Linked DNA regions of Elephas maximus indicus. The main gene of each other region encodes a partner of the protein of the gene in region 2 in a complex. Links are inferred from orthologs where the notes say so. Each region holds a gene or a part of one and is shown on either strand. Other genes may lie near its edges.

Region 1 (7,084 bases), on a different chromosome or scaffold from region 2:
GTTAGCAGCTGTAGTGCTTAACCACTACGCCACCAGAGTTTCCATGATATAATCAAATGAAACAAAAATGTCTTCTATGTAATATCGTTTTTAAAACCCATGACTTTGAAATTAGATTGGTTATACAATATTGTTCCCTGTAATTATTCTTGTCATCATACAAGTTTTACCCACAGAGGTCCACAATCCCTTAACTTCAATTCCAAAATCCAAAAGGCTGTGAAAAACAAGTTTATTATTATTCATTTGGATACAAAACCTGACATGAACTGACATGAGGTTATTCATAGTATTCATTTATCCCAGTTGGTGTGAACATTCAGACATTTTGCTATAGAAATAGTTATGTGTTTGATTACGAGGTGCTGACCCCAACCTCTCTGGGAGTGTTACATAATATCCGGTACATGTACCATATTTCTTTTCTAAAATCCAGAATCACATCTGGCCCCAAGAATTATTTTGCCCCCAAAGATTCTGAATACGGTACTGTGGACTGGTATACTAATTAATGCTATGTCTTCTCATACATAAAATATAATACTGAGAATGAATGTAGATCTTCACATGTGATAAATTCAATGTCTTAACAACTATCACGCACACATACAATCCTAGAAATTAAAGCATTAAAAGGACTTTTAACAAATGTCAAAAACCCAAACACATCAATTATGTTGTATTTCAAGTGATGGTGACATTTGCATCATCCAATATCTAGATCAATTCCTCTTAGATTGAAATCCACTTAAATCGCAGTTAAAATATTGGCAAAGACTGAATTGGTAATTATGCTAAGAAAAATTATGTTGAGAAAAAGAACCATTCACTGATAAATAGCTTGCTCGGTAAAATGTTTTGGTTTTTAAAAAAAAATATCTCAGAAGGTTTAAGATTTAAAATTATTTCATTCTAGAGTAGAAGTTCTGAAAGTTGATTACAATTGACTTTTTCTGTGAAAGGAGAGCCTCTGACAGGGACAGCTCTTAAAGGATGTTTGAATGGGAAGAAGAGTTTCACAGTTCCTTCCTTCCTTCCTTCCTCCTTTAGTTGCTGCTTTTCTGGTTTTAGAATTTCAAACAAAGAAAATACATATTGGCTCCATTGCTAAGAAACGCCTTCTTTCTCAGCAACTTCCTCTTCCAATTTTCTTCCCTACCATTAACATAAGAGAACAATACCCAAGGTCAGTCCCACCATTTTGATTAATCAAAAGTGCCAAGGTTTGGAAAAAGTATGGGTTGTAATTTATAGTACCCAACTACCTCCTCCTCAGGTCCACAATCTTTGCTCATCTAGAAGTCAGATACAGAGAGCACAAAGAAATAGTACATTCAGGGACAAACTGTTGAACCTTTCACCCCTAGAATCCAAAGAAATCCTAAACTAAACTTTCTCCCAGCCCAAGAAAACGTGGCCTTCTTAGGGAGGAGAGCAAGTTTACTGGGCTGGCACCACCCCGAACCAAGCGTCAAGTTAATAGCTGGTTGAACTTTCTTCCATAGGCCACCTGGCCAGGATTCGAGCTGAGCGGTCTGAAGTTCTGACACACTTCAAAGTGACTTTTACAATTTAGAAATAGTCCTTTCCAACTCAGAGAGGGAACAAAGGGGACAGACTTATAATTAACCATGCAGGGATCTTGACCCAGCCTGTCTCCATGCAAGAAATTAAGTATCTGGGGCCAGCCCCCCTCTCCCACTGGTATCTTCTAAATAAGATATAATAAATAGGAGCCTTGCTGGCACAGTGGTTAAAGCACTCGGCTGCTAACCGAAAGGTCAGTGGTTCAAACTCACCAGCTGCTCTGCGGGAAAAAGATGTGGAGCTGGCAGTCTGCTTCTGTAAAGATTTGCAGCCTTGGAAACCTACTCTGTCCTATAAGGTCGCTATGAGTCGAAATCGACTAAACGGCAATGATTTGGTTTTGCTTTAGTTTATCTTTTAAATGGACAATGACTTCCTCTTGCCCAGTAATTATCAAAGGAAACACCTTAATACTGGTGAGTGCTGCACCTTACTGTGTGACCTTGGGCAAGTTACTTAACTCCTCTGAAACTTAGTTTTCTCATGTGTAAATTCTCAACGGTTTCTGTAAAAATTAAATTAGTACAAAGCAGGAGCACCATAAATGTTCTTCTCCCTCCTCCTAACCCTCCTGACTGCTGGGCCTAAGTTCCAGTCACAGCCCTGAGAGGCTCCAAGGATTCCTTCCTCTTCTCTGATTCTATGGGCAACTGTATAAAACTTCCTCATCTCCAAGGCTCTAGGATTCTCAGAGTACCAGGACAACCCGACCCCACCCATCATGGTCTAGGAAACACCCAGCACCTTTAGCCAACTCTTCTCCTCTTTACTCTTGCAGACCACTCTGAACACACACACACACACACACACACACAGAGCCCTCCGTGTTCGCCTTGCCAGTCCACAATTTAGCAGGCCAAGAGCTTAAAAAGCACGTCAACTCCTGAGCTGTCCAGAAAGTGGGAACAGTGGCTCAGCTGGGAAAGAACTTGCCCAAAATCTCAAACAGCTGGGATCCAACTCATGTATATCTGTCCATAAAGCCTTCATTTTATAAATGGGAAAAGTGAGGCCCAGTGAAGGAAGTGACTTGCCCAAGGTCACATAGCGAGCTGGTGGCGGAACCAGGGCAAGCTGGGGCACTCTCGCAGCCTCACAGAACTATAGGCCCCTCCAAGTCTCCGGGTCACCCCTTGGGGTAGGAACGCCACCTCGCGCTGACGGCTCGCCGGGCCTCTGCCCGTCCGCGATAGGAGACGCTGCACCCACTCCCCGCGGACCCTGCGCGACTCGGGAGGGGCGGCCCGGCCCGGCCCGGCCCGGCCTAGCGCCTCACGGCGGGGCGGCGGGGCCCGCCCGAGGGGACTTGTTGCTCACCTGGCCTCGCGCGGGCGCCCTCAGCGACAGAAGGGCCGGCGGGCCGGCCGGCCGGCCACCTCGTCTCAGCAAGGGGTCTGCTCCCGCGGGCCGCCTCACGGCCTGCCACCCCAGCCGGACCCCCCTCAGCACACAACGCCCCCAGCCGCGCTCGGCCGGCCCGCATCCGCCATTACGCGATTCCCCACCCTGAGACGCAGCCACACCCCGCCGACAGTTCTGATTGGCTCTCTGCCCCACCCGCCCGGGGCTTCGGAGTATTCCATTGGCTCGAGCGGAATGCCAGTTAAATAACTACGCAAAAGACGTATTCAAGGATACTGTCCCGGGAGCTCCACCCGAGCGATTTCCGCAAACGGAGTAAACAGCAGGGGGCAAACCAAGTGAAGTGGGAGTGGAAATTAAGGTAAATCAACTCCTAAATTTAAGGTAGGAAAAGTCCAAATAAGAAAGTGTAAAAACTCATACAAGTGTATTAAAAGACAAATTATTCTTTTAAAGTTCAAAGAATCAGTATTTTTGTTGGAAGGAAGGGGCCAGTCCCATAAACTTTCTGTGGACACCCCTCAAGTTGCAGATAGTTTTGTCCCACCCAGCTCGATCTCAGACCCGGCCGAAAGTAGGGTGGGGGATGAGAGAGAGAGTCATAAGGCTTCATCCTGGCCCTGAAGAATCCACCTGGGGCGAGATCCGGGGTCCTGGGACGGGGAGCAGGTTCTGATAATTGAGTGAAGTGAGCTGGACCCTAGTTCAGCCGCTACTTGACTCTGCGACCTCAGACAACAACCTGAATCTCTCTCTCAGTTATACCGCCTCACCCTGCTTCACGTCCTGGGTCGTTTGAGAATAGGTGCATGAGTGCATCTTGTTGATTACAAAAGACTGCGACTGGACAACTGCGCAACAAGTTCCCAAATTAGCAAAGCTAATCTCATTTTGATTTTCCAGAACAACCCCGTGAGGCAGAAGAGAAAACTGAGTCTCTGATGTTCGGTGACTTGCCCAGAGTTGCTCAGGGAATTTGAAACAGCTATGGAAACCCTGGTGGCGTAGTGGTTAAGAGCTACGGCTGCTAACCAAAGGGTCGGCAGTTTGAATCCACCAGGCGCTCCTTGGAAACTCTATGGGGCAGTTCTACTCTGTCCTGTAGGGTCGCTATGAGTTGGAATCGACTCAACGCCACTGGGTTTGGTTTTTTTTTTTTTGGTCTGGGGCTCAAACCTGTGTCTTTTGGCTTCCATTTCTGTATTCCTCCCTTCCAGGCCAGGTGTCACTCGAGGAAGACTTCCCCTGCATCTCCTTAGCATTCTCGGAAAAGCCCTGAAGGTTCTAGGATAGCATCCCACATCTCTGGTCATTATAGATTTGGGTACAGGCCAACCCTCAGCTACTTGTCGATCACTAAGGTTCCTGGGAAAAAAAGTGACCCTTGGTGTGTGTCTGAGCTGTTTCTGGGGCCCTAGGAATCAGGAGGTAAGGGATAGCAGGTGGGTCAGCAGCCCAGGCAGAATCCCAATGAGGACACAGAAGCTCCAGGAGGGGCAGTGATGCCATTGTGGGCCTTCAGCAGGGCAGCCTCCATGCCAAGACTGAAATCCAGGTCTCACCCTTCTCAGAACAGGGCTCTTTTCACCACAAGATTGTTTTTCCCAGAAGGGCTGCCTTGGCTGTAAATCTTAGCCTTTTTCCTTCTCTGGAAAGAAAAGAGGCCAAAAAGGGAGTAGGAGGTGGAGCAGCCTAAAATTTTAGAAGGGCAGAGCCTTCCTACTGGGTGTGGTACCAACAAGGGCCTCAGTGCCAGCCGAGTCTCTAACCTCTTGGCTCAAATTGACAGCCAGCAACTATTTCAATCCTGACTGTGACCTTAGGGTGCTGGGAGGCAGCAGGTGCTATGCAGAAGGTAGTGGCTTGCTTTGGGGTCAGACTGATTTGTGATGGAATCCAAGCTCTGCCATTCTTTAGCTCTTTAACCCTCACTTAGGAGCCCTGGTGACATGGTGGTTAAGTGCTTGGCTCCTAACCGAAAGGTCGGAGGTTCGAACCCACCAGCCGCTTTGTGGAAGAAAAATACGGCAGTCTACTTTCATAAAGATTTCAGCCTTGGAAGCTCTATGGGGAAGTTCTACTCTGTCCTGTAGAGTCACTATGAATTAGAATCAACTTGACAGCAATGGGTTTGATTTTTTTTTTGGATCAGCCCTCACCTACCTCTTCGCTAAAATGGGACAATAGGGCAGTTCAGAGGATTAAATGAGTTAATTATGGAATTAATGAGCAATGTGTGTAACGTGCCCAGTAGCCATTCATTCGTTACATAGAATATGCCCTGGTTATCTAGTGCTGCTCTAACAGAAATACCACAAGTGAATGGCTTTAACAAAGAGAAATTTATTATCTCACAGTCTAGTAGGCGTCAGCTTCAGGGGAAGGCTTTCTCTCTCCGTCAGCTCTGGAGGAAGGTCCTTGTCATCAATCTTCCCGTTTGAGAAGTTTCTCACTCAGGAACCTCAGGTCCAAAGGATGCACTAGTCTCCTGGCTCTTGTTTCTTGGTGGTTTGAGGTCCCCACGACTCTCTGCTTGTTTCTCACTTTTATATTGCAAGATTGGCTCAAGACACAGTCTAATCTTGTAGATCTCATCAATATAACTGCCACTAATCCATCTTGTTAACATCATAGTGATAGGATTTACAACACACAGGAAAATTACATCAGGTGACAAAATGGTGGACAATCACACAGTAGCGGGAATCATGGTCTAGCCAAATTGATACACATATTTTCGGGGGACACAACTCAGTCCATGACAGAATATTATTAAGCACCCACCACATGCAGGGCAGCCTGCCAATACTGCAGCTACAATGGTGAGTGAAACAGACTTAGACCCTCATGGAGCTTAGAGTCTGGTGAGGAAGAAAGCCATTGAACAAATGATTACACAAATCAAAACACAGGAATCAGAATATAGTTAGAAACTATGATAAGGAACAAGAAGGCAAAGTACAGTGTGTTTATGAGTGTGAATATCAGGGGATAGGGTGGAGTCAGAGGAGGTTTCTCTAAAGAGGTGATGTCTTGGGAGAGTTGGATGAATAGGACTGAACCAGGCAGCAGGGAGTTGGGGAGAAGTGTTACGGGCCAACAGAAAAGGTATCTAGACCAATATGGTTGATGGCGCTGGGGAGGGAGGCAGAGCGTACAGGCCTTATGGGCTACCATGGGAGTATTGTGGTTATTGCTGAAAGAATGAGGGTGTTACAGGGGTGGGAACCTGGCCTTGAAAGTGTGACTGTTCTCCAAGGGCATCTGTACCTATAGTCCCTGGGAGAATACAAGCTGTGAGGCAGGGTTTGAATCTTGGCTCTGCCACCTCTGAGTGTATGAAGCACCTCTCTTTGCCTCAGCTGTATTTCTGAGAAATGAGGATAATGATAGAGGGCCAAAATGTTGGGATGAAAATTCAATGCAAAATGTGTATAAGGTGTCCTGGCCCATGGAAGGCCCTCTGTAAATGGTGCTTGGTCTTCCCAGCACGGACAGAGGTGAGCCTGAGGCAGGATATCCAGCGGATGTGTTGGGAGAGAGCTGTTGCAGGCAGCTAGGCACTTGGTGAGTTGTCACATGATCCTAATTGTCATAGGAAACTTTGGAGCCAAGTAAGTCTTCTAGCTGTGTGACCTTGGGCAGGTGGCATAGTCTATCTGAGCCACAGTTGTCTTATCCATAAGATGGGGATTATAATTATTTCTATTTCCCAGAGATACGAAGATTAAATAAGATAACAAATGTGAAGCTTTTAGCATGGGCACATAGTAAGCATTTATTGAATGTTAACTCTAATAATATAGTAATTATTAATAATAGCAGTTACTACTTGCACTGGAAATTAAGACTCTGGAGCTTTGCTTGAAGGTTGTCTGACAACAGGAGTCTTGGCTTCTCCTTTTAGGCAATGAAGGTACACAAGTTATTTTCAGATGGGGTGATGTTTTGTACATAAATGGTAATATTAAGCACTCTCATTTATTGAGTATTTACTATGTGCCAGGCATATGCTAAGTGCTTTACATGCATTAACTCATTTACTTCTCACAACAATTCTATAAACTAGGTCCTGTTACTATCATCCCCATTTTACAAACAAGGTAAAGGAGGCACAGAGAAATTAAGTGACTCT
Region 2 (7,751 bases):
TTAAGATAATCACTGCTGTGTGAGAATTTCATCTCCCCCACCCGTCACCCCCAGTTCAGTGGTAGAATTCCCCCATTCCATGAGCGAGACCTGGGTCTGATTCTGGCCACAGCACCTCATGCCCAGCTATCATCCATCTGTCAGTGGTGGACTGCACGCTGGTATGATGCTGGACAGGTTTCATCAGAGCCTCCAGACCGACAGGGACCACCAAGAAGAAAGGTCAGGTGACATACTTCTAAAAATCAGTCAATGGAAACCCTATGAATCGCAACGGTCCCACCCATAACCAATCATGGGGATGACACAGGCCTGAACCGCATTCATTCTGTTGTGCGTGGGGTCACCATGAGTGGGAGGCTGAGTCAACAGCAGGTAAGGACGAGATCAGAATACCTCACTGGAGGCAAGTTTAAAAAACAAACCCACTCTCATCTAGTTGATTCCGACTCATGGCAACCCCCATATGTTACAACTGAGTTTCACAGGGTTTTCTTGAGTGTAAATGCAAGGTCACCAGGCCTTTCTTCCACAGCACTACTGGATGGGTTTGAACTGCCAACCTTTTGGTTAGTGGTCAAATGCAATCTGTATGCACCCCCCAGGGACCTGAAGTCAAGTTTAGGACCACCAAAAAAAAAAAACCTTGAGGCCACTGGCGATGACTCGATACCATGGTACTAATATTTTAGAAAGTGAAAGACTATGAGAAATAACATGACATCTTAATTAGGGAAATTACCAATGAAGTTTAAAAGTACTTCAAAATTACACGACGGTGGTATGAGGGAGAAGGAAAAGGGGTCAGAGAGAAAAAAGAAAATTAAGAAACACCTTTACAGCATACAACCATCTGAAAAAGAAATAGCCAACAGACAGGTTAAAACATGTTTGCAGTTACCAACTGTTGCCAACGTGTAGCAGTTACCACACCATATACTTGTCAGATTTCCCAACATGCAAAACAAAAAGGAATCTCCCCTTTATGAAGTACTTATCTACTGACTTCTGTTAAGAAATGGCTTTTCTGGGATGGGGGCAATTTAACTTTCTAAGCTGTCTGAGTTTCAAAATCTTCAAGATCTTCAGCAAATAAGGTTCGCCTCAATTTTAAAGCTTTTCATGCTGGGTTGAATAAAAATTGCATATTTTTAATACTGACTAACTACAAAACCACTTTTCTATTTGTAAACTATATCCACATTTCTACTAGAGTTTAAAGTGATTTTTTTAAACGCTAAATACAGTTTGAAAAAACAAGTAGTAATACAGTAGATGTGGCAGGCATTCAACAACTTTACTTATCAGTAAAATTCCTAAGTAAATGCTTGAAAAAATTTGTGAAGATAAAGTCCTAGTAATGCTACTGAAGAGACAATGTTACTAATAAAAAAACTTAGAAATAATTAAAATATTTTGAAAACAGCACCTCTGCCTATAAAGTAAGAGGAAATGCATTTGCCAATACAGAAGTCATTGGTTCTTAAAAATGATAATCACATCGAAGGCATTTCTAAAAATACTTCAGTTCTGAATTGCAATACCTCTAACCTTTCAAAGCACGTTCTGTCATGCCTTACCAATAACAAGCAATTTTTGGGTGTCATTATACTGATACAAAAGTCTGCTACTTCATTTGCTTCTACAGCAAACTGTTGGTTTACACAGTTAATGAACCGCAAAGCAAACTACTACACATATAATTCACTTTCAAGCATTAAAATAAAAACAAGCTTATATCACAGATAAGGGCCCAAGAATTTTCCAATAAATTTGCAATAACAGCTATTTTACGTTCTGGTTCAAAGGTTCGGTAATCTATTTGGATTCATATTCTACACGTGCACATAGGTTGGAAACAGGGAAACTTCAGAAAACGGCGGTTACACCATTCTAAGTTACTTGTGAAGCCAAGGGTTCAAGAACTTTAGGCGGAAGAGAGAGTAAGATATTTTTCCAAGTAGTTAAGAATAATTTACGTTTTATAATAACGATACTCCTTAACAACCTCTAGACTACATTGCAGTGGAGCGGAAGTGAAAATGATGAGACCGAAAAACCCGACTTGAAAACGGACAGGCAGGCAGATTTACAAACCGTCAATTAAAGGAATTTTAAGATTAAGTTCTCTCAAAGGCCCTCCCTTACTCCACACCCGCTTCTCCTCTCCTTAGGGAGGTCTGTGTAATGTGACTCATGACAAATTTTTTTAAAAAATAAATAAGTAAACGACACACCCTCTGGGTTGAACTGACATAACTGCCCCCACCCCACCCTCCCCGAAGCACACCCCGCTTTTCCTGTCCCTTCTGCTGCTTCTCCCTTAGCCTCTTCCCTGCCCTTTCCTCTCCCTTCTCCCGGTTCCAGACCCCCCCTCCCCGGCGGAGAGGCAGCGGGGCAGCAGCTGGGTCCCCGGGACAGAAGCACGGAGAAGGGAGGGCTGCCGAAGGGCAGCGAGACTCGTGGGGTCGAGCCTGCGGGGAGGCGGGCGTCAGGGGGCCGCCCGGCTGCGGTGGCGGCGGGCTCCCGGGTCCCTCGCCCATTTTCTCTCTCCCCTTCTATCGGTTTCAACCACCAGAGCCACTTCCTGTATCACAGCCCGACTCACTCAACCCTGCCACTTGCTCTCTGGCGGCTGGGCTTGGGGTTGGGGTTGGAGCTGAGGCAGAGGCTGAGGTTAGGCAGTTCCCCACCCCGCCCAGGGGGCTGGTCACTCCGGCGGCCGGCGGCGCGTCCTCGGCCCGGGCAGCGTCTGCCCGCCCGCCCGCGCTCCTCACCTGTATGTAGTTGTTCTCACAGTAGTCCGCCACCCGGGTCAGGTTCTGGTAACTCTCTATCAGCGCCCTCTTGCCAGACGGGATCTCCTCCTCTAGTAACATCTGCAGCTCTGCCATTTTCCACCCCTCCGCATCGCTTCCTCTCGCGTTAAAGAGACAGCGGCAGCGAGGTCCGCGGAGGCTCCGAGCACCTCACAGCCCGGATACAAACCGCCTACCGCCCTCCCGCCTGGTATTGTGGGACGGTACCTCCTCCTCTTCCTCCTCGCTCTCTCCACCCCCTTCTACCCACTTCGCGCAGCCGCCTTAACCTCGTTCTCTCGCGATCGTTCCTAACTCCTAGAGAGAGGGATTTTTTTTTTTTTTTGCACGGTCTTCTGGGAATTGTAGTCTCTGATAGGCTAGACTTCTCATCTGAAGCGCAGGCGTCGGGGAGGAGTGTAACTAGGGAATCTTGACCAGAGGCGGTGATTTTAGGTCTGGAATTTCCTGACAGCTCCGGTAGATGGCGCAATAGGGTGATGCTGGAGAAGAAAACCGTCCCACCTCCCCCAAGGCTGTGGAGCTACAGAGCTTTAGCAACCGAATGTGGATAAATAAGAGCCATGGATTCCGGTTAGTATTAAAAAGGGATAAAACCAAAACCTAACCCGTTACCATCAAGTAGATTCCATCTCATAGCGACCCTATAGGACAGAGTAGAACTGCCCTATAGGGTTTCCAAGGAGCTGTTGGTGGATTCACACTATGATCTTTTCGCCTGCAGCCTTAACGCTTAGATACTGCACCACCAGGGCTCCTTAAAAATGGATAGAATATGGAAAACTCCAAATATTTATAGGTAATCCTCGACTTAAGATGTATTTGAGTTACAATGAACAGCACTTATCACCACCTTTTTTTTTTTTTGTACGTCTTATCATTAGTAAAAAGCTGCTATTCCTAAGGTTTTCACTGGCTAATGCTTTTCAGAAGTAGACTGCCGGGTCTTTCTTCCTAGTCTTAGTGTGGAAGCTCAGCTGAAACCTGTCCTCCATGGGTGACCCTGCTGGTACCTGAATACCGGTGGCATAGCTTCCAGCATCACAGGAACACTCAAGTCCCCACAGTAGGACAAGCGGACAGACGTGGAAAATTGGAAATCTTTAAAACAGAAATGGAATGGCTAAACATCAATATCCTAGGCATTAGTGAGTTGAAATGGACTGGTATTGGCCATTTTGAATCGGACAATCATATACTCTACTATGCTGGGAATGACAGCTTGACGAGGAATGGTGTTGCATTCATTGTCAAAAGAAACGTTTCAAGATCCTGAAGCACAGCGCTGTCAGTGATAGGATAATATCCATACGCCTACAAGGAAGACCAGTTAATGCGACTATTATTCAAATTTACGCACCAACCACTAGGGTCAAAGATGAAGAAACAAAAGATTTTTATCAGCTGCTACAGTCTGAAATTGATTGAACATGCAATCAAGATGCATTGATTATTACTGGCGATTGGAATACGAAAGTTGGAAACAAAGAAGAAGGATCAGTAGTTGGAAAATATGGCCTTAGTGACAGAAACAATGCCGGAGATTGAATAATAGAATTTTGCAAGACCAACAAATTCTTCATTGCATATACCTTCTTTCACCAACATAAACAGCGACTATACACATGGACCTCACCAGATGGAGTACACAGGAATCAAATTGACTACATCTGTGGAAAGAGATGATGGAAAAGCTCAATATCATCAGTCAGAACAAGGCCAGGGGCCAACTGTGGAACAGATTATCAACTGCTCATATGCAAGTTCAAGCTGAAACTGAAGAAAATCAGAGCAAGTCCACGAGAGCCAAAATATGACATTATGTACATCCCACCTGAATTTAGAGACCATCTCAAGAATAGATTTGATGAACTGAACACTAGTGACTGAAGACCAGACAAGTTGTGGAATGACATCAAGGACATACATGAAGAAAGCAAGAGGTCACTGAAAAGACAGGAAAGAAAGAAAAGACCAAGATGGATGTCAGAGGAGATTCTGAAACTTGCTCTCGAACGTCGACCAGCTAAAGCAAAAGGAAGAATCGATGAAGTAAAAGAACTGAACAGAAGATTTCAAAGCAAGTCTTGAGAAGACAAAGTAAAGTATTATGATGACATGTGCAAAGAGCTGGAGATGGAAAACCAAAAGGAGAGAACACACTCGGCGTTTCTCAAGCTGAAAGAACTGAAGGAAAAATTCAAGCCTCGAGTTGCAATACTGAAGGATTCTATGGGGAAAATATTAAACAATGCAGGAAGGATCAAAAGAAGATGGAAGGAATACACAGAGTCATTATACCAAAAAGAATTAGTTGATGTTCAACTACTTCAAGAGGTGGCATATGATCAGGAACCAATGATACTGAAGGAAGAAGTCCAAGCTGCTCTGAAGGCATCGGCGAAAAACAAGGCTCCAGGAATTGAGGGAATATCAACTGAGATGTTTCAACAAACGGTTCTAGCTCTGGAGGTGCTCACTCATCTGTGCCAAGAAATATGGAAGGCAGCTTCCTGGCCAACTGACTGGAAGAGATCCATATTTATGCCTATTCCCAAGAAAGGTGATCCAACCGAATGTCAAAATTATAGAACCTCAAAAACAAAACATGCATGGTTTTTAATGCTGTCCCGTCCTAATTTCTTTTCTCTGACTCCTTTGCATGTCTCACCCTACTGTTTTTGTTTCTGTAGGTTGTGTAAAATCATTTTTTTTTTTTCCTGATTATCAGCTGCTTTGGAAGAGTTTCAAAAAGCCCTATATTTTAACCTTTTAGTTTCACTGAAAATATGAAATGCTTCTGGTATAATGGGTTATGAAAAGTGTTGTCCAAAGGCCAAAAAGGAAGTTAACTTAAAGATTGTTTGAAAATCCATTTTCATAGCTCTCCACGTAGCCATTTAGAATCACAAGGATAGAAATGGTAACACCACACAATCAAATAAAAAGATCAATCCGTCAAAAGTATTTATTGAATATTACCTCTACTTGTTGATGTTGGGTGCCATTGAATCGATTCCAACTCATGGTGACCCTGTGTGACAGAGAACTGCCCCACAGAGTTTTCTTGGCTGTAATCTTTAGGGGTGCAAATCGCCAGGTCTTTCTCCCACGGAGACGTTGGGCAGGTTCAAATCATGAACCTTTCAGTTAGCTGCTGAGTGCTTAACCATTGCACAGCCAGGGCTCCTTATTACTTATACTAGGGGCCATAACATATTCAACCTTCCCAAGGAGGAACTTAAGTCTGCTACATAAAAGAAATAACTGCCCCTAGCCACTACCATTATATTAAACTGAGAAAAACACCATAGTCCCTGTCAAGGATTCTAAGGTCCATCAATCAATGAATGGGTTACTTTTACTAATTGTCTGGAATAGGCACAACGGTCTTGCTTCAAGTTTTATCATTAATCCAATTACATTCAACAGGATTTAATTCAAGTAGTGGAAATGTGTTATATTCTTGATCTTGGTCTCTACGTGAGCCTGCATATATCCATATATTTATACATTTCAACAACATTGGGGGAATGATTAAGGAGATGATACTGAATTACTATTACTCAAAGTACTATCAGACTTGTTTAATGCTCACAACAACTCTGAGAGATAAACAAGGTAAATATTATTTTATTTCTTTACCAGGTAAGGAAACTTAAGCTTAGAGATTTAGCTAAGGGCACTGAAAATAGAAATAGTAAGCAGCAGTCAAGAAATCAAATGATGTATTGCATTGGGCAAATCTGCTGCAAAAGACTTCTTTAAAGTGTTAAAAAGCAAAAATGTCACTTCGAGAACGAATGTCATGGATTGAATTATGTCCCCCAAAAAATGTGTGTATCAACTTGGTTAGGCCATGATTCCCAGTATTGTGTGGTTGTCCTCCGGTTTGTGATTATAACCTTAGGTTGAGAGGATTAGGGTGGGATTGTAACACCACCTTTACTCAGTCACCTCCCTGATCCAAGGTAAAGAGAGTTCCCCTGGGGTGTGGCCTGCACCACCTTTTATCTCTCAAGAGATAAAAGGAAAGGGAAGCATCAGAGAGCTGGGGACTTTATACTACCAAGAAAGCAGCACCAGGAGCAGATCATGTCCTTTGGACCCGGGATCCCTGTGCCTGAGAAGCTCCTCAACCATGGGATGATTGAGGACAAGGACCTTCCTCCAGAGCCAAAAAAGAGACAAACCTTCCCCTGGAGCTGACACCCTGAATTTGGACTTGTAACCTACTAGACTGTGAGAGAATAAATTACTCTTTGCTAAAGCCATCCACTTGTGGTATTTCAGTTATACCAACACTAGATAACTAAGACAACTAAGGTGTAACTAAGCCTAGCCATAGTATTTTCAATGACCTTATATGCATGCAAAAACTGGACAATGAATAAGGAAGACGGAAGATGAACTGATGCCTTTGAATTATAATGTTGGCAAAGAATATTGAATATACTATGGACTGCCAGAATAACAAACAAATCAGTCTTGGAAGTACAGCGAGAATGCTCCTCGGAAGTGAGGATGCCAAGACTTTGTCTCACGTACTTCGGACATGTTATCAGGAGGGACCACTCCCTGGAGAAGGACTTCATGCTTAGTAGAAAACTCACTGCCGTGGAGCCAATTCCGACTCATAGCCACCCTACAGGACAGAATAGAACCGCCTCATAAGGCTTCCAAGCCTGTAAATCTTTGCAGAAGTAGGCTGCCACGTCTTTGTCCCACAGAGCGAGGGGTGGGTTCAAACTGCTCACCTTTGGGTTAGCAGCCCACCGCTAACAGAGCTAGTAGAAGGTCAGCAAAAAAGAGAGAGACCCTTAATGACATGGATTGACACAGCAGCTACAACAATGGGCTCAAACATAGCAACAACTGTGAGGATAGCAGTGTTTCCTTCTGCTGCACATAGGGTCGCTATGAGTCAGAACC
Region 3 (7,110 bases), on a different chromosome or scaffold from region 2:
TTAGCAGCCAAGCTCTTAACAACTGTACCACCAGGGCTCCATGAGCATTAAAGCATAATATTATTGTCTAGAGTAACTTATAAAAGTGTTATTAGACTTAGGTCACTGAAGTTTGCATTTTTCATTGTACATGCTCGCTAAAATATTTCCAGAGTAGACTTTCAATTGGAGTGAAGATTAATCAAATCTGATAGACAATCTAATGTACATATGCATTAATAAAAGAATGATAACTGAATGGCATGTATATAGGGTGGTAGTTTTTTGAAGACTATAAAGGTTGAGATTGAAAAGATTATGTGGTTTATACTGTCATAAGAATGCAGACAGCATGAACACATGGTGGACACATATTACTGTTTTTGGCAAGATTTTGGAACAAATGTTTCAATCCCTAGCCAGCTGAGAAGATAAGCTGGCCTCACAGGCAACTCTAGAGGCTAAAAGATCCAAAATTTCTTTAATGCATTTATATGCAGTTACACAAGGAGAGCAAACCAAAATTATTATTATTGAAATGTGGGCAAGGTATATATATTTTTTGTATTCATTCATTTCAACAAGGCCTTAAAGGCCTCAGGTACCAAGTGAGACCCTAAATACCAGTAGTTTAGGGATGAATAACACTGTCCCTGCCCCAAGGGAACTCACGTTAAGGCAAGGTAGATAAAATATTTCCCAATGAACTACAAATATGTGCTAAGTGCTGAAATACAACATTTCAAAAACTCAAGGTATTTGACACATGGATATAATACTGATCACATTCAACTTATTTTAAATCTTGCTACTTCAAGAGCCTAAAGTTTCTCAAAACAGGAAGTAAAAAAAAAAAAACTGCTTTTGAGAAAAGACAGTGAACCGTCATCTGTTCAGATCTTTAGATTTTAGTTTACCCTTACCTAATTTACTATGGTAGAATATGGTAAGTTTGCTTACATTTATAATATAAAAATGTTTAATGTATGCTTTAAAAAAAAGTGTTTTGCCCAAATACCAAATCACTTTTGATGTTACTCTCACTTCCTCTTCTGGAAACCATCATAACCATTTCCTTTAACCACAATACCACAGGTCTAGTAACTTTACTGAAGTTTGAATTGCTAGTTGTTTGGACAAAGTTTGTATTGGAACCAATTTCTGAGTTGTCTAAAAAGTATAATCTCACAAAACATTCAAGTCAATGCAACCTACAAGTAATACTATCTAAAATTAAATTATTCCTAACGTACATAAATTTATAACCAAGGCATCTTAGTAAATGCAAAGGGCTTCTTTGTAATGACACTATGCCCCAGTCACATAAAATGTAACAAACCGCACAGGTAGACTGCACTGGGTGCAGAGTCAATCCTTGCATCCTTGTGAGCAACTGGAGGACCATAGCAATCCTTATCCAAAATTTATCGTAACTACAGCAAAACCATCTTTCCCTTTAGAAGTAGACTATCTACCTCAAATTTTATACCTGAACCCCATGATGTGAATTTTGAAAAACACAATCTTTCTTCAGCAGCCAAGACTCACAAAAGCTGCGATTCTACTGCTACGATTAAATAAAATATTCGTGGTACTTTAAAAAGCCAGCAAAAATAACCATGAAGATAATGACACCAAATACACACTGGAAACTCAAAGGCTCTAGACTGCAAACAAAATTGCTCTTTAATTTTCTCTTAACCACATTCATTAAAAATTACCAACCTTACCTTTAAAAAGGAAAAGGATTTTTGTTGTTTTCTCCTAAGATAAATGAATGCAATATTTGCTCTACCATTACATCTATTTTTCTTAACTACAATTCAACCTCCCATTTCTTAAATTTGCTGAAGACATGTAAAGATTTTCAATGAGTCTATTAGCTACTCAAATTATCTGATTATGCTATAAATCTGCAGAATTCACAACATATTTACATTTTTATTTGGTATAGACACCACAGTCTAAGAAATGGTGTTTTAACATTATCAGATAGGGCTGGAAAAATTCAGATGAGGAGGAGTAAAGGGGGTAGGGAAAGAAGGTTGTTATTCCTGTTCTAGTGACTCACAGCCCAGAAGTATTTGAGAAGAAAATTGGTTCCACCCTCACTTCCCCCTCCTCTCCACCTTCAAAAAATGAAATAATCCCAAATCGTCAACAGCCTCTCAAATGGTTTTTATTCAGCAATCTCAAATAAACTGGCAGAGCAGAAAGAATGTAGGTTAATGTTGATTAGCCATTCATTCCTTTCCCACATTCCCACACACCAAGAAATTGAGAGGTGGGGTGTAATCCCCGTTCACTGCTATCCCCGCCAGATTTCTAGGGTTTCGTCTGTTTTGGAACACCCAACTTTTCCTATTCTCCGAAAATCTAGCCCACCCATCTCTCTCCCGTTCCTGACGACCCCGTCCAGGGGGCGGAGGCGCGAAGAAGGGGGCAACGGCGCCCCCACCCCACGCCAGGGCCGGCGCCGGATCCTGCCGCTGGGAAGTGGGAAATGGCTTCTCCCTGCCTCCGGTCGGCCCGCGAGCCACCGGGAGAGGCTCCCGGAACTCCCCGTTAGGCCGCGGCACATCCCGGCGACTCCGGGCCGGGCCTGACGCGGCGATGCTGGATTTCTGCCCGCGGCGCCGCCCCGCACCCTCCAGGCCTCCCCTACCCTCCATCCCTCCTCGGCCCTCCGCCCGCCGCGGCCTCGCCGGCCCGTGCGCACCTTCTTGATATTGTAGAGGCGGGTGAGCATGCCGACCCCCCGGTCGTTGAGAATGGTGAGCTTCTCCGCCAGCTTCTGCTGACTGGGCTGCAGCACGGAGCGCGACATGGTGGTGGTGCCGCCGCCGCCGCCGGCCTGCTGGCGCCCGGTCACTGGCCCGCGGCCTCCGCAGTAACCTCTCTTCGGCCTCCTCCTCTCCCGCCCGCGACCTCCGCCTCAGGGAAGCGCGTCCATGGCCCTAGCGTCCCAACCCCGCGCCGGTGACAGAGCGAGCCGCGGCGGACGCCTTGGGGTCCCTTCCCCCGCAGCAGCCCGCGCCCCGGCAGCCTCCTGCCTTCCGCCCGCCGCCCTTCCGTCCCCACCCCCGCCGCCTTCTGTCCCAGCCCCCACCAAGCCGCCTTCCCCGACTCCTCCACTAGGTGTGGCGGCGGCAGCGGCGTCTCCGGCGGCTGAGAACGAGGCGGCTTCCCGCAGCCCCGGACGGGCGCTCGGTCACCTGATCGGCCGCGCCGGCGCCCCCGCGAGGACGGTCGGAGAACTGCGCCAGGCAGGCCCTTGCCTACCCCGACAGGCTTCCAAGTCGCAGCCACTCTGGACCCGGACCCCACCTGAACCCGACTCGCTGCCTGCGCCTATTCCCCAAATGTGAGTCCTAAGTGGGGACCGAGTAGGGTCACGTTTCTCTGTGCGTCCCGCCGCTTCCAGCACCCCCCAGCCTTCAAGTTCCTAAAGTGGCAACATAAGTTGTCTTTCTGCGCCATCGTCCTAAAGAAACCAGAAGAAGTAGGGGGGCGGGGAGGAGTCTCAGATGAGCTTCTCCTGAGAGTGGGCTGGTGGCTCCAGGCGCCTTTCCTCCCACTGCTTGACAGACGCTCACCGCAGAACACAGCAGATGTTGTGTTCCGCGAAGCGGCTTCGCCTCTCCCAAGCTCCCCATTCCATCCTAACTCACCCCCACACCACCCCTGCCCCAAGCAGTTTATGCGGGAGGAGATCGGAAGTGAGGACAACTCAAGTTCCTGAGATAATCAGAATCTGGAATTTGTCCACGAGAAACACGTGGGTGGCACAGAATAAATGTTTATTCAGTGGGTGAAGGAACGCTCCCATTTTTTCCTGGCCTCCACCCTAAGTCCGACCGCTTTTCAGAAACTTTCTACTTTTCCATCTCTCTGTTTCTTTTTTTTTCCTGGCTAGTTTCCTAGCCACACTTCAAGGCTACTATTCCCTCTGGTCAAATATATCAGATACGGTTTCAAAAGTGAACAAATCAAGGACTTATGTAATTGGCTGGGATGAGGATTCAAGCCTAGAGAAGTAGAGCCACTTTGATGATTTTGGCCTTACTGCCCTTCCATGTATCAATCTTTTGCATTATTTCATTAGTTTTAAGCCAATGACAAAATATTCTGCTAACTTCAATAAAAGAGTAAATAAGTTATCATTGGGTTTATCAAAACACTTTATGAAAAGGAAATTGTGATGAATAGCTTCTTAAACTTTTTTTTAAAGCTAATGTATCTACTATACCTATGGAAATCCTGATTTTAATACCCCCAACAAATGAAAGTGAGTAGACTAAATGGACTTTTTTTGTTGTTAGGAACCATGAGTCGGTTCGGAGACTCATAGGACTTGTTTTCAAGGGCATTAAAAAGAGCCCTGTACCCACCAAGTACAAAAATACATAATGGTACCTACCAGTGTGCTTGGAATTCTATACTTAGAGCTGCATTTTTGTACCTGAAGAGTTTTGTTTTTTTTTAAAACAAACGTCTCAGAGATGCCACCTAATGCACTGTTATAGGTCATTAACGTGTTGTTCTTGTTAGGTGTTCCTCCAGTGGATTCTGATTCACAGAGACCCTATGTACAATAGAAGGAAACACTGCATTTGAACCACCCTCACAATCGTTGCTATGTTTGAGCCCATTGTTGCAGCCACTGTGTCAGTCCATCTCTTGAGGGTCTTCCTCTTTTTTGCTGACCCTCTACCAAGTATGATGTCTTCTCCATAAACTGGTCCCTTCTAATAACATGTGCAAAGTACAGGAGACAAAGTCTCACCATCCTCACTTCTAAGAAACATCCTGACTGTACTTCTACCAAGACAGATTTGTTTGTTCTTCTGGCAGTAGATTCAATATTTCTTGCCAACACCATAATTCAAAGGCATCAGTTCTCCTTCAGTCCTCCTTATTCATTGTCCAGCTTTTCCAGGCATATAAGGTGATTGAAAATACCATGGGCTGGGTCAGGTACACCTTAGTCCTCAAAGTAACATCTTTGCTTTTTAACACTTTAAAGAGATGTTTTGCAGCAAACTGGTCCAATCCAATGCCCAATGTTTGATTTCTTGACTGCTGCTTCCATGGGTGTTGATTGTAGATCCAAGTAAAATGAAGCCCTTGACAACTTCAGTCTTTTTGCAGCTTATCATGATGTTGCTCATTGGTCCAGTTATGAGGATTTTTGTTTTATGTTGAGGTGTGATTCATACTGAGAACTGTAGTCTTTGATCTTCATCAGTTAAGTGCTTCAGGTCTTCTGCGCTTTAAGCAAGCAATATTGTGTCATCTGCATATCGCAGATTGTTCATGACTCTTCCTCCAACCCTGATGCCTCGTTCTTCATATAGCCAGTTTCTCAGATTATTTGCTCAGTATTCAGACTGAATAAGTATTAATGTGCTGGGATATTTAAATTATCTGGTTTCTTTCAACCTGATATTTAAAGTTTTAATTTAGAGAAAAGGCAATGATCTGTAGCCTGGGATAACAAGAACAGACCTTGGAAGGGGATGTTGCAGTGAGGGGTTTGGAGCTGCCAGATAAAACTGAAAGGTGCCAAATGTTGTGGAAAGACTGTGCTCTTTTATAGCACCACAAACAGTTTTAGTAGAGACATAATAATGGAGTTCCACCAGTGCAAAGTTATCTAATTTTCTAGTTTTTTCAAAGTACTGTACAGAGAGAACATGAAAATGGTACTGCATCCAAGGCACAATTAGTCTCTATTCACCTGGAGCAACAGAGAAGGAAGGTCAGGAATAGGAGGAAGAAATGGCTGTGTGGATAATTGCCTCTGTGAACAACTGCTTCCTCTGCTATGAGACCAGGACTGGATGGTGCCCAGCTACCATTACTGAACATTTTGATTAAAGAGTCTATAGAAGATTCCAGAAACCCTGGTGGCGTAGCAGTTAAGAGTTACGGCTGCTAACCAAAAGGTAGGCAGTTCAAATCTACCAGGAGCTCCTTGGAAACCCTATGGGGCAGTTCTACTCTGTCCTGTAGGGTCGCTATGAGTTGAAATCGACTCAATGGCAATGGGTTTACAGGTGTAGAAGAATCCTGGCCAAAAGAGGCAAAATGCAGAACAAAATTTTAGATTATCATGAAATCCAGGCTTTCTGGAGCCATGGAGGCTGGATGAACCCCTGAAACTATTGCCCTGAGATAATCTCTAAACCTTAAACCAAAAATATTCCCTGAAGTCTTCTTAAATCAAACAATGGTTTAGCTTAACTAATAAAGAATGTCTGCCTTGAGCATTATGCTCTTTTAGATCTATGTATATGGGATCAAACTGACAACAGCATCTTGAAAAGATTAGTTAGGAACCTTAAGGGGCAGTGAGTTTAAGTTAATGAGGGAGGAACAACTCAGAAAAGGAGAGTGAGAATGGTCACACAAGTCAAAGAATGTAATTAATGTCACTGAATTGTACATGTAGAAACTGTTGAATTGGTGTATGTTTCACTGTGCATATTCTCAACCAAAAAATAATTAAAAAAGAAGAAAATGGGAGGAACCAGTACCATGGTGTCTGGCTGCAAGATTGTCCTGTCCATCCTCAACAGCAGCCTGGCCAATTTAGCGGTGGAGTGCCTCCAGATGCTGGACTCTGGAGCTGATTATCTGCACCTGGATGTAACAGACAGGCATTTTGTTACCAGCACCACCTTTGGTCACCCTGTGGTAGAAAGCCTCCAAAAGCAGCTAGGCCAGGACCCTTTCTTTAACGTACACATGATGGTGTCCAGGCCTGAACAGTGGGTAAAGCCAGTGGCTATAGCAGGGTCCAATCAATATACCTTTCATCCTGAGGCCACTGAGAACCCAGGAGCTTTGATTAAAGACATTCGGGAGCATGATATGAAGTGTTGGCCTTGCCATCAAACCAGGAACTACAGTTGAGTATTTGGCACCATGGCCTACTCAGTTAGATATGGCTTTGGTTATGACAGTGGAACCTGAGTTTGGAGGGCAGAAATTCTTGGACAACATGATGTCAAAGTTACACTAGTTGAGGACCCAGCTCCCATCTTTGTATAATCAAATGCCTCTCCGGTTCTTGTCCTGTCCTAATAGCCAATCAAAATAAGACAAATGCCAACTTCAAGGGAAACA

Evidence for each region.
Region 1: ABI1 (region 2) and WASF2 share a complex: the UniProt entries of both Homo sapiens proteins name them as parts of the WAVE2 complex. The link is inferred for Elephas maximus indicus from reciprocal best matches to the Homo sapiens genes ABI1 and WASF2.
Region 3: ABI1 (region 2) and NCKAP1 share a complex: the UniProt entries of both Homo sapiens proteins name them as parts of the WAVE2 complex. The link is inferred for Elephas maximus indicus from reciprocal best matches to the Homo sapiens genes ABI1 and NCKAP1.

The regions. Positions count from the first base shown.
Region 1 is NC_064821.1:67,844,424-67,851,507, forward strand, and holds the start of WASF2 (actin-binding protein WASF2), read right to left. Parts: upstream 3,098-7,084; 5' UTR 2,905-3,097; intron 1-2,904. UniProt on the Homo sapiens protein: Downstream effector molecule involved in the transmission of signals from tyrosine kinase receptors and small GTPases to the actin cytoskeleton. Promotes formation of actin filaments. Part of the WAVE complex that regulates lamellipodia formation.
Region 2 is NC_064822.1:28,454,316-28,462,066, reverse strand, and holds the start of ABI1 (abl interactor 1), read right to left. Parts: upstream 3,037-7,751; 5' UTR 2,895-3,036; coding exon 2,778-2,894; intron 1-2,777. UniProt on the Homo sapiens protein: May act in negative regulation of cell growth and transformation by interacting with nonreceptor tyrosine kinases ABL1 and/or ABL2. May play a role in regulation of EGF-induced Erk pathway activation. Involved in cytoskeletal reorganization and EGFR signaling.
Region 3 is NC_064824.1:81,383,292-81,390,401, forward strand, and holds the start of NCKAP1 (nck-associated protein 1), read right to left. Parts: upstream 2,931-7,110; 5' UTR 2,807-2,930; coding exon 2,699-2,806; intron 1-2,698. Other genes in the region: nematocyst expressed protein 3-like, read left to right, coding at 2,931-3,343. UniProt on the Homo sapiens protein: Part of the WAVE complex that regulates lamellipodia formation. The WAVE complex regulates actin filament reorganization via its interaction with the Arp2/3 complex. Actin remodeling activity is regulated by RAC1.